Arabidopsis thaliana: one gene and its partner. The protein of the gene in region 2 interacts with the protein of the main gene of each other region in a pairwise test. Each region holds a gene or a part of one and is shown on either strand. Other genes may lie near its edges.

Region 1 (5,773 bases), on a different chromosome or scaffold from region 2:
GGCTTAGATTTTGTCCTTTGATTTAGGGAATCAAAAGAAAGTCATAAACATTAATTTTGCCTGTAAAATCACACATTTCAGATTTGTTCTCGTATGACCTACAAATAAAGTATATGATTACACAATCAATCTTTAGATTCAAGAACTTTGTCCCTACTTCATTATATTCAGCTAACATTTCTTTTTAATTCTCTGTCGTGCGAAAGGTTGTTGACAATATAAATGATATATGTACTTGTACGCGTAATGCTGCTAATACATTTTAATTTGGGCTTCTTCTGGGCCTTAATATTTGGGCTTTAAATAAGTTATCTCTCCCACTTACGCATGTAAACACAGCTCTGATAATTACGCTGAGGTGGCATTTTTTAATTGGCTAATGCATTAAGAGATGCGTGGCGAGAAATTTCCCCTCCTATAAAAATTGTTGAAGAGTCCGGTCAACTCCGAAAGTCTTCAAATCTCTCCGTCACGAATCGTTCTCTCGTCGTCATCAAAATCTGTTAGCCGAATCAGGTGAGCCCTTTGTTATTTTTGTTGTTTATGATCTGGATCTCTGTTGATTGAGGAAATTGGTAGATCTATGGATTTGTTAGATGAGCGTGTGCGTAGATCTGAAAATGAGATCTCGATGTTGAATCTGAATCGCGGCTGGTATACGATTCCCGATCTGGATACGATTCAACATGCATAGCATCTGAGAATTTTACATAGAATTTTGCATGTTCAATTTTTGTCTCGCTGATTTGAGAATTTTAGGATTGCTTCATCTAATTTAGTTTTGTTGACTCGATGCTGAAATTAGTTTTCTGCGTTTGAGAGTTTCGAATCTTCCATCTCCTGAAAATGCAGCTCAAACTCATATAGTATATGTCAAATTGAAACAAGTTTTTTCAATTACGTTTCTAAGAACTCTTGCTAACCAGAACAGGATTGTACCAAGTAATTTACATGATTAAACCTGAATTTGTACTGATTTGAGCTTACGGATAAATGGAAACAATGTGATAGTAGTATATAAATTTGGGTATACGTAGTTGCCTTGTGGGAAGCAAATCTTTTACCAGAGGTTTCTAGTATCATATAGAATGTATGACCATGGAAAACTAAACATGAGCTTAATGGTGTTTAGATGTCTCCTATTATTTCATTTGCTTAATAATTCTCTGTTTTTTTTTATATATGATCGCTCTTTTGCTTCCGATTTCCTAAAGGCCAACCATTATTCTCAGATAGAGAAAAGAAGAAAGAATGGTGGGAAGTGGAGCTCCACAGAGAGGAAGTGCAGCTGCAACTGCAAGCATGCGTAGGAGGAAGCCGACCAGCGGTGCTGGTGGAGGAGGTGCCTCTGGTGGTGCAGCCGGATCCATGCTTCAGTTCTACACCGATGACGCACCTGGTCTCAAGATCTCCCCCAATGTTGTTCTTATCATGAGCATCGGTTTCATTGCTTTCGTCGCTGTGCTTCATGTTATGGGCAAGCTCTACTTTGTCAAATGATGACAAAGATAATAGTTGAAGACAATGCCACCCTAAGTGACTGCTAGTGATCCAAATATTATACAGTGGTTTCAAGTTAATGTTTTAATTTTGTGGTTTATTACCAGAGTATAAACGATCTTTCACAATTCCAGTTTCTTTACATTCAAATTTTCAATATTCTTCACACATATTATAGGCATGAGCTTTTTATACATCTCACAAATGACAATGAGTACTATTATCACCTTTTTAACTTTAAAAAAATTCAATTGTTGATAGCATAACACACTCATAGTCAATGGTCTTGAGTGAAATAACTAATCTATTAACCATAACTAATCTATAAAAGTCTCTGGCGTTTATTGAACAATTAAGAAATAGATGGGAAATGTTGGAGATAAACTAAACTTTTCAGGGTCTTAGTTGTCAATCTGAAACGGGGCCCGATTAAATTATACTCGGGTCATTCTTTTGTCCACCGGGTTTTTCTTCAGAACTTGAGCGAAGGAGGTCGCGATATTGGAGAGATCTTTTCTAATGGCAGCGTTGGGAGAATCATCATCCTCAGAGATGGACAACGCGAAATCGCCGGAGATTCAACAATCTTCGCCAGTGCATCCGCCGGAGTATCAGAAGATCGCAACGACGACGGTGGAAAATGCGGCTTCCTGGATCGATGATGCGTTGCGTCAGGCGCTTGTTTACCAGAAGACGATCACGGAGACGGTGGATTCTACCATTGACGCCTCCAAAGCTCGATTGTCTCAGATTCGAGATACTTCTGTAGCTCACACGAGCCAAACCATCGTAAGCTAACTACAACCTCCTAATTTTCATTGGAATCCAAAGGGAATCTGAAATTCACAGCATCTACTCTCTATGTCATCCGTGTGATTGTTTATCCTCTCACGAAATCGAGGTTTCGGTATATTATAGGATTCTCTTCGAGACATTGCTTCTGAGTATAACGTTTACGAGCAAATGGTGTTTGGGAAGATCAAAGGTCTGCTCTACCTTTGGTGGCTACCTCTATGTTGTTGTGCTTTTTTTCTCTTAGCTCATATGTTTGTCAATCTTGTATGTAGATGGTGTGAATGTTGCTGCATCTCATCCGCTAATATCAGGCACCTTAGCTTTTGGAGTTGGGATTTTTGCTCTGAAAAGTACGTTTTCTGGATATTCTTTTAATCTCCCTAGAGTTTCAATCGCCTAGAATGTTATGAACTGTAGTGATTGCTCTTGTTTGTTTGCAGAGACCAGAAGATTTGTATATTACAATACTGTACGCATGTTTGTTAGTGAAGAGGTCAGTGTTGTATACAACATCGTTGAATTATAAATTGGTCTCTCTGTGGTTAAATATGTTCTTGAAACTTGACAGTATGTTTTGGATTCAGGCTTTGCTTTCTAGAGCAGATCTTAAAGTAAAAGAGTTGCGACAATCAATGGATCGTCTTAAAGCCGAGAGTGAAAAGTTAGAGGTAAGCCTCTTCTTTTGTTTTAATGAGTTGTTCTGTTCGACATGAGGTTGACGTTTGTGGAGAAGACTGCCTATGTTATGCGTTTAGTTAGCTATATTACTCTCTTTCGGTTTTGCTTCAACATCCCTTTATTTTGAAATAGAATGTGTGGCATTTAGGATGAAAATTGAAAGGGGTTAGGTTTCGACCAGAGAAATTTCTATATAGCCTTATTCAGTGGATATGGATGAATGCTTCTACTTTCGCAGGCATATAGCCTTTCACGGTTGAAGTAATTTAGTGCAAGGATATTCTTGAGTCTAACTCTTTCTTAACCCTAGTCAATAGATATATAGTTATATACCCTCCAACTAATAGTCAATGGTCTTGAGTGAAAGTAGTCTATTAGAAGCAGGTATTGGATTACGGTTTTTGAATTCTTAACAATTTTTAACTTTCATTGCTTCAGAGAGTTGCAACTGTGGCAGAAGAGGAATTCATTAGAGGAAGGATGAAACTCAGGTTTATGATCCAGACAAATTACAACATCTGTATATTGGATTTATATATCAACATGAATATTATGTTAACTTTCTTCATCTTCTTACACAGGCAAGCAGGCAAACAAATCAGAGGTGCGATCAGCTCAGCTTATAAGATTGAAAAGCAAGCAGCAGGTACACCTTTCTGTGCTATCATGCTACAGTTTGTGAAACCAAAAATATGCATAGAACAGAAGAAGAAAACTTTCGCCGTAACAAAGCTTATCGACTTAGACCATGATCATTTTTTATTTACAGGTTTGAAAGATGTACTAAAAGAACTGCCAACGAGAGAAGCTTCTCGATTCCGCACTCAAGTAAGTGTTACTTGTCTTTTGGCTCTTATAGGTAGAGTATAGGAGCTGGGATCTAGAGTTAGAAGCTGAACTTGGTTGGAATAAATTTAACAACCATTTTATATACATTGTATAATGGAGATATCTCAATTGTTCAACCTCAGATATCGAAGCGTGCTTCTGAAGTGAAGCAAGAGAGAAACGCTTTGACAAAGGAAGTGAACAAGATCAGCAATTATGGTATCTCCGTATGAGGCAAACCAAACCCCATTTTCGAGTTACGAATTTCTTTACTCTTGAGGTTCTTCTTTAGATGATGGAGCAAAATTACACAATAATAATGTCTACAACATGATTCAAACTCTTTTTTTTTTTTTTTTTGGTTTCGTGTCAAATGCTAAAGATGTAATCTCTTGTTGTCTTCGGTTTTCAAGGGTTTCGTTCATTGGCGATAGTTAGTACTTAGTAATACAAGTTCATGATGATGTTGTCATGTTTAAGTCTCCCATCCATGAAGGTGTATTTTTAAATCCAATTTTCCCTTTTGAATTTAAACTGAAAATCAAACCTTATATGATCAGTTTTGTTGATTAGAGTATAATGTAAACCGAACCTTAAATCACAATTTCGTAAACCGGAATTAGGACCCCAATTTTTGATCGAAACGTGAAGTCGAAATAAGGGTGCAAGTGGATAATATATATAACTCGGAAGTCTGAACACTGACGCCGTTTAGTGTAAGCGGAAATTAATGAAGCTTTTTCTGATTTCATGCTTCAGTAAATGATTAAATCATTTGCAAATATTTAAAGAAAACAAAATTGAAGGATGAAGTAAATAACGTAGGAGAAAAGGCAAAGCCCAAAGATATAATTTTTTTTTAATAATTAACAATTAAATGAGGTTTGATTTTCCAACGTTCACTAAAAATTTTAGGCTCCCGTCGTCGTCGGTCACGTGATTAACGCCGCTAGGATCGCGACACGTCATCATCACGTGACGTTACCCAAAACCCAACCCCAAGAACCAAAAAGAAAAACAAAAAAAAGAGTGACGACGGACGAGGCAGTGAAAAGTGAAAACTAAAACGGGTGGTGGTGGTGATGAAGTTGAACTTGTTGTGGTTGTCTCATAACTTCTTTCTGCCGTCGAAGCTCCATCACTTTCCGGTGAGAGTTTGAATGCTGAGTCAAAACAAAAGTAGGACTCGAAGCCGGTCTATATTCCGGTACAAGTCTACCGGATTTAAACCGGACTCCACAAGCGTTACATAGTGTTTTAGGTCCAAGTGGTCCTGTCCTCCACTGTGGCGTTTTCTCCGATGCACAGTGAGTACATCTCCTCATTCCTCCTCCTTCCGTAGTCTCCGATGACGATGACTGATGTCTTCCTCCTCCTCCTCCTCCTCCGCCGGATTGTTCTTTCTTTGGCTTGAATTTGGCGGCGGAGTGAAGCTGCTGATGCTCGGATTCCAGTGGCATCGGAGACCATGTTCCGGCGAAAGGAGCAGGAGCTCTTGATCGTTTGCTTCTTGGTTTCCCCGGAAAGGAAGTTTCAGTTTTGACAGAAGTCATAGTTCCTCCTAATGGATTCGCCGGAAAATCAGCGAAAGAATCGTCCACGAATTGCGAAAGCCATTCAAGATGAGCTGCGTCATCACTCTGCACACAAAAAATACAACAAAAATCAAAACACAATCTTTATTTCAAAGTCGAAACTTTGATTGGAGAAAGAGAGAGGGAGAGAGATTATACGGGAACGCAAATGTCGTGGAGGAAGGAGTGATGATCGGCGGAGGAAGGGAGATGGTGGTGGTGGAAACTAGGGTTTTGAGGAGGAGGGAAAGAAGAAGAGGAAGTAGCGGCGGTGGAACCACCGGAAGAAGAAGCGGAGAAGATGTCTTCGTTGGAGAAATCAAGAAGGTCGTCGATTCGAAGTAAGTCTGGTGAAGATAAGCCATAGACGTCCATTGTTATAGATTATGATTGAGTGG
Region 2 (4,690 bases):
ATGTGAATTATTAATTAACTAAAATTTGTTCCTCTTTTTTTTTTCTTGTTAATCGTTTTTTTTTTTTTGTTATAAGGTGACGTTGGCGACGTTATTGCCGGCGACTTACCAAGGCCACCTTGATGTGACAATATGGTCGCCGTTTCTGTATGGAACAACTGTACCGGTGGCACCATATTTTTCTCCGGCGTTAAGCCAAGATCTAACGGCGGGGATGGTGCTTCTGAATATCAAGATCGATGGTTGGGTTAGATGGAAAGTGGGAACGTGGGTCTCCGGTAGGTACCGCCTCCACGTCAATTGTCCAGCTTACATTACCTTAGCCGGACATTTTTCTGGTGATGGTCCAGCCGTGAAGTACCAGCTTGTCCAACGATGTGCCGTTGATGTTTAAACAAAGGGATCATCATTATTCTTTAGAGAGACTAGAGTACTTTTGTTGTGCTTTTAGTGTTAGTTAAGTAAATTCTTCGAAATGTTATTATTCATAATAATAATATATTGTTTGTCTTTTTTTTCTTATGAGATTTAAGTTTAACATAATAATTACTAGGTCCCTCTTTTCCATTCTTTAAAATAAATACCAAGATATATAAAAAATAAATAAAAACATAATTTAATCAAGATTTGTTGTTCAAGTGTTAAGAAACCAATTGCGTTTTGAAAACTATTTTTTTGTTTACTGGCTAATGATCGTAATTACTGGGAGTCACCAATAAATTGATTAATCATTTTTTGCATTATTTGTGAATATTTCTTGAATTTTGGAAACAAAACTTGATTTTTGAATAGGTGACATTTGCATAAATTTTGGATCATGTTTCTTGGGGACATGACAAGATCATATATATTTGCTTGGTACTAAGTAAGCAGTTTTGGGTCAACTAAATTTCTAACTTAAACGACTTTTGTCTTCTCTTTTTCAGATGAATGCGAACTTCCCAAGTAAATCTGTTTTCTAGATCCTCATTTACAAAATTGATTAAATCTTTTTATTTATTTTATTTAGTTTATAAACTTCAACATATTGGAAAAACAAACGAGTGAAGAGAGACTTGTAAAAGTTATTACTGTATTGAAACTTGAAATTCGTGGAACATTTCTTTTTATCACTTTGGTATACTATTAGTTAGTTTAATTGGTTTATAATAAAGTAAGTAAATGGATTCGTGAGATTTATACTTTTTTTGTCAAAGTGATATGTATGCTTATTGATGACTTAATACACGTGAGAGGTGAAAATCGTGGTCATGTATGTGACATTTGCACATTTTCAGGTGCAATGCGCATGCCATTTATGTATTTTTTTATACTTTAGAAAGTTTCTTGATGAGATCTAAATTTCATTTTAAATAAATTGAATAAAATATACATCGGCAAAAGCTAATTTCGTTCTGGATAACAAAAACAAAAGTGCTTTCTTTATCATTGAACTTTAACAAAGTTTTTTTTTTTTTTTTTTTGGTTCGAAAAAGACTTTAACAAAGCTTAATTTTGCAGATGCTTAAAGGAAAAATGAAAATGATTCATATTCGCCCCAACAAACTCTCTACTTGCCACGTGTTATTGTAACTTTAGTGACGTTGTATTTGATTTTGTCTTAGCTAGCAACAGAGAATTACAACCAAAAAGGAAAGTTTATCTAACTAAAAACAATTCATCTATTTCATGTAAAGGTTGATAATTACATTGGCTCTATATAATATTGTCAATTGAAATTCAAATTTGGTTAAATACAGGGAATCCTTAGAAAAACCATATATAACAAAATAATTTTTGTAAAGCAAGGGGCCAAGGGGCTTCCAGCCAAAATTATTTTGAGAAATTATACAATTTATATTACAAAAATTATTTTTCAAACTTCTGTTAATACTTTTACACTAAGAGATTTGGGGTTCGAGTTCCAGCTATTGCGATTTATTAGCAGATTTGCAAATTAATGGAAGCAAATATGCAAGAGATCTACAACGAAGAACAATTATAGTTGTTCGCCAAGATTCTACGCAGAGAAGATATTGAAGGTGTCTATTAAGCGCATGGAGAAGGAGAAGAAGATGTCGTCTGTCGTGGATCTAATAAGGGTCGAAAGGAATTGTCCGTAAGGGAATCGTCTATATAACAGTTCTCATAATTTATAATAAATAATAAATTTAGACGGAAAATTTTCTTTGGCTACGATGCCACGTTTCTGGAAGGCATTGCCGTTAATTTTGTCTGAATTAGTTGATAAAGCAATTAACATTATGTTTATCATTGGCCAACTACAGAATGTTTAATTTTTATTTTTTAAGAAAATGACTTTCTTAATAGTTGAAAACTTGTTGAAGACTCCTTGTCCCATTGGTTGACCAATTGGTTGATTCAAAACTTTAATTGCAAAAAACTTTTTTCTTGTGTCTAATAAATCCATTAAACACATCCCCAAAGTTAAATGTCAATGGGGCAGAGTGCAACCTTGTTTACTCTTATTTACATAATTAATAGCTTAAGTAACATGTTGGACAATTTCGCTTGCTCCATAATAATTTCTTTTTCCTTGCATTTTATTTCTCGTACTTTATAATGTTAGACAAACTCTTTGGTCCGATGTGGAAAACCACACAAGACTTAATTTAGTAAATGTGGGGTTTACCAAAACATATAAATAGTTAAACAAAGTAGATTGGGTTATTAGTTTGGGTTAAAGAAAAGCTTGAATTGGTTTTGCATGTTCCTTTGCATTCTAAATATAGTTAGTCATGTTTTTCTTTTGTCACATTTATTCCTTAGGTTAATTTATAATAAAGGAGGTATTTCATGTACTATCATTCCTTCTCCCTTTCCTTTACAATTAGTTGAAAAACACACAAAAGTCGCTCAACAACTTGTGTAACAAGAGCAAAATGGATTACCAAACATTAGAGATTGAAGACCCAAATGATGTTAACATTCCCGATGCTGAGAACTGCTTTGTGGAACCAGGTTGGGCTGCCCTGTTCACCCTCCTAGCCGTGTACGCTATCTTATTTTCCATCGACAATTTGTTTTCTTGTAAGGCCAACTTCTCAATCCAATCTATATCCGTCTCCGCCTCCTCTTCTGAATCGGTGTGGATCGTATATTTCATTGTGAAGAAACCTAGCTTTATGTGTTCTATCTCTTATGAACGCGAATACGTGTCAGCCAATCTTAGTCCCCTAAAAAGTGCCATTGTAAACGTCTCTCACTACCAACGTTCCAATGGCTTCACGGATTTTTCCGTGGTTTTCGCGGCTGAGACTGAGGATATTGGACCAGCCAATGGAAGCAACGTTATTTCAGGTGTCTACAATCTTAATATTACACTTCTCATGAAGCATAAACAAATTGCCGCGAACAACAAACCAGGACATTTCAATGTTCAGTGTAGAAATTTTACCCTAGTGTTCTCATCGGATATGAAGTCGGGAGTGATGCTCGGTGACAAGAAAATTGAATGTCACTCATCTTTTCTAAATTTGAAAGAGCCTTTTCCTTGATTGTTCTTAGATTTTTCATGTTATTATTATTAACTACTACATTTTCAAATAAATACATCCCAAACCATTGTTATCAGAATCATTTGTTAGATTTACACTGACTACTAACTCACAATCCTCAGATTAAATATGTTTAAATATGGATGAACAAGATTCAACTCATGAGGGTACAAGTAAAAGTAAAATATTTTTTGATAGAAATTGTTACATTACATACAAAACTTATTAAGATATCTATTTCTTCAAAGTAGGATACAAAACTCTCAACTTTTTGCGGATCTACAACCGAAAATTCAACAGATTGATTTCTTTTCGCGCCACAAAACCAGCTTCACTTGTCTTAAAACATCAAGTTATTTATAGATAAGTTATTGTTATTGTTAGGAAGAACAAAACTTATAGTGATAACACCTATAAATATTTAGTTAAAGAAAAAATATCATGTTTTCTATTGTTGTCTCCTGAACTGTTCTCTTAGAATAAGCTGATTATAATACTTTAGCATAATATGTACTAAGCCTTCCATAATTCCAAAATGTCGTGGTCTCAAATTGAACCTCGTGATCCTAATTTAACGACTTGGTCTCAAATAACATCATCTCGTGATCCAAATTCAACGACGACTGAAGATGAAGACGGAGATGGCGAGATAGACCATCCTATTCGAAATTATTGTAGAATGTACGTAATACTGCTCTATACTTTTGGTTTTTGGTTGTATCTGTTGATAGGGCTAATCAACATTAGCAGATGTTACTTAGACCTATTCGTCGACTCTGTCTCCGTCTCCAACAATACGAACTGGAACGTCTCATTGGTTGCTGATAGTCCTTTCACATTTTGTCAGTTATCTCTCTTCACAGTTAACGGCCAACTCTTACAAGGAGGTAGGGTTATGGCTGACAGGCTGAGTCAACCACACCCTACTCTTGTGAGCAATTAGTTAATCACACACCAATTTCAACAGTCGGCTTCACCACGCGGAAGCTAGACAGCATAAAAGATGGCCATGTGGTTTGGGACACCGGGGTCAAGATCATTGCCCGCGTCCAAGCGGGCACTAGTCTTAAAAAAAAGGGATTGTTGAGGGTGACAGGCAGTGATTTGCCGGTTAGGTTTCTGTTGGATCCAGAAGGGAACATGAAAGGATCGTTGGTCGGAAACATGAAACGTTGTGAATACTTGTTTAACAG

What was found.
Region 1: the proteins of AT3G44230 (region 2) and AT2G45060 interact in a protein complementation assay, tested with the Arabidopsis thaliana proteins (one large-scale study listed by BioGRID).

The regions. Positions count from the first base shown.
Region 1 is NC_003071.7:18,582,935-18,588,707, reverse strand, and holds AT2G45060 (alanine-tRNA ligase), read left to right. Parts: upstream 1-1,834; 5' UTR 1,835-2,019; coding exon 2,020-2,289; intron 2,290-2,418; coding exon 2,419-2,485; intron 2,486-2,567; coding exon 2,568-2,645; intron 2,646-2,735; coding exon 2,736-2,788; intron 2,789-2,879; coding exon 2,880-2,963; intron 2,964-3,411; coding exon 3,412-3,464; intron 3,465-3,554; coding exon 3,555-3,619; intron 3,620-3,742; coding exon 3,743-3,801; intron 3,802-3,944; coding exon 3,945-4,034; 3' UTR 4,035-4,417; downstream 4,418-5,773. Other genes in the region: SEC61 BETA (Preprotein translocase Sec, Sec61-beta subunit protein), read left to right, coding at 1,252-1,500; GATA2 (GATA transcription factor 2), read right to left, coding at 4,863-5,441, 5,535-5,750.
Region 2 is NC_003074.8:15,929,252-15,933,941, forward strand, and holds AT3G44230 (uncharacterized protein), read left to right. Parts: upstream 1-2,882; coding exon 2,883-3,497; downstream 3,498-4,690. Other genes in the region: AT3G44220 (Late embryogenesis abundant (LEA) hydroxyproline-rich glycoprotein family), read left to right, coding at 77-394; AT3G44235 (uncharacterized protein), read left to right, coding at 4,033-4,384, 4,465-4,690.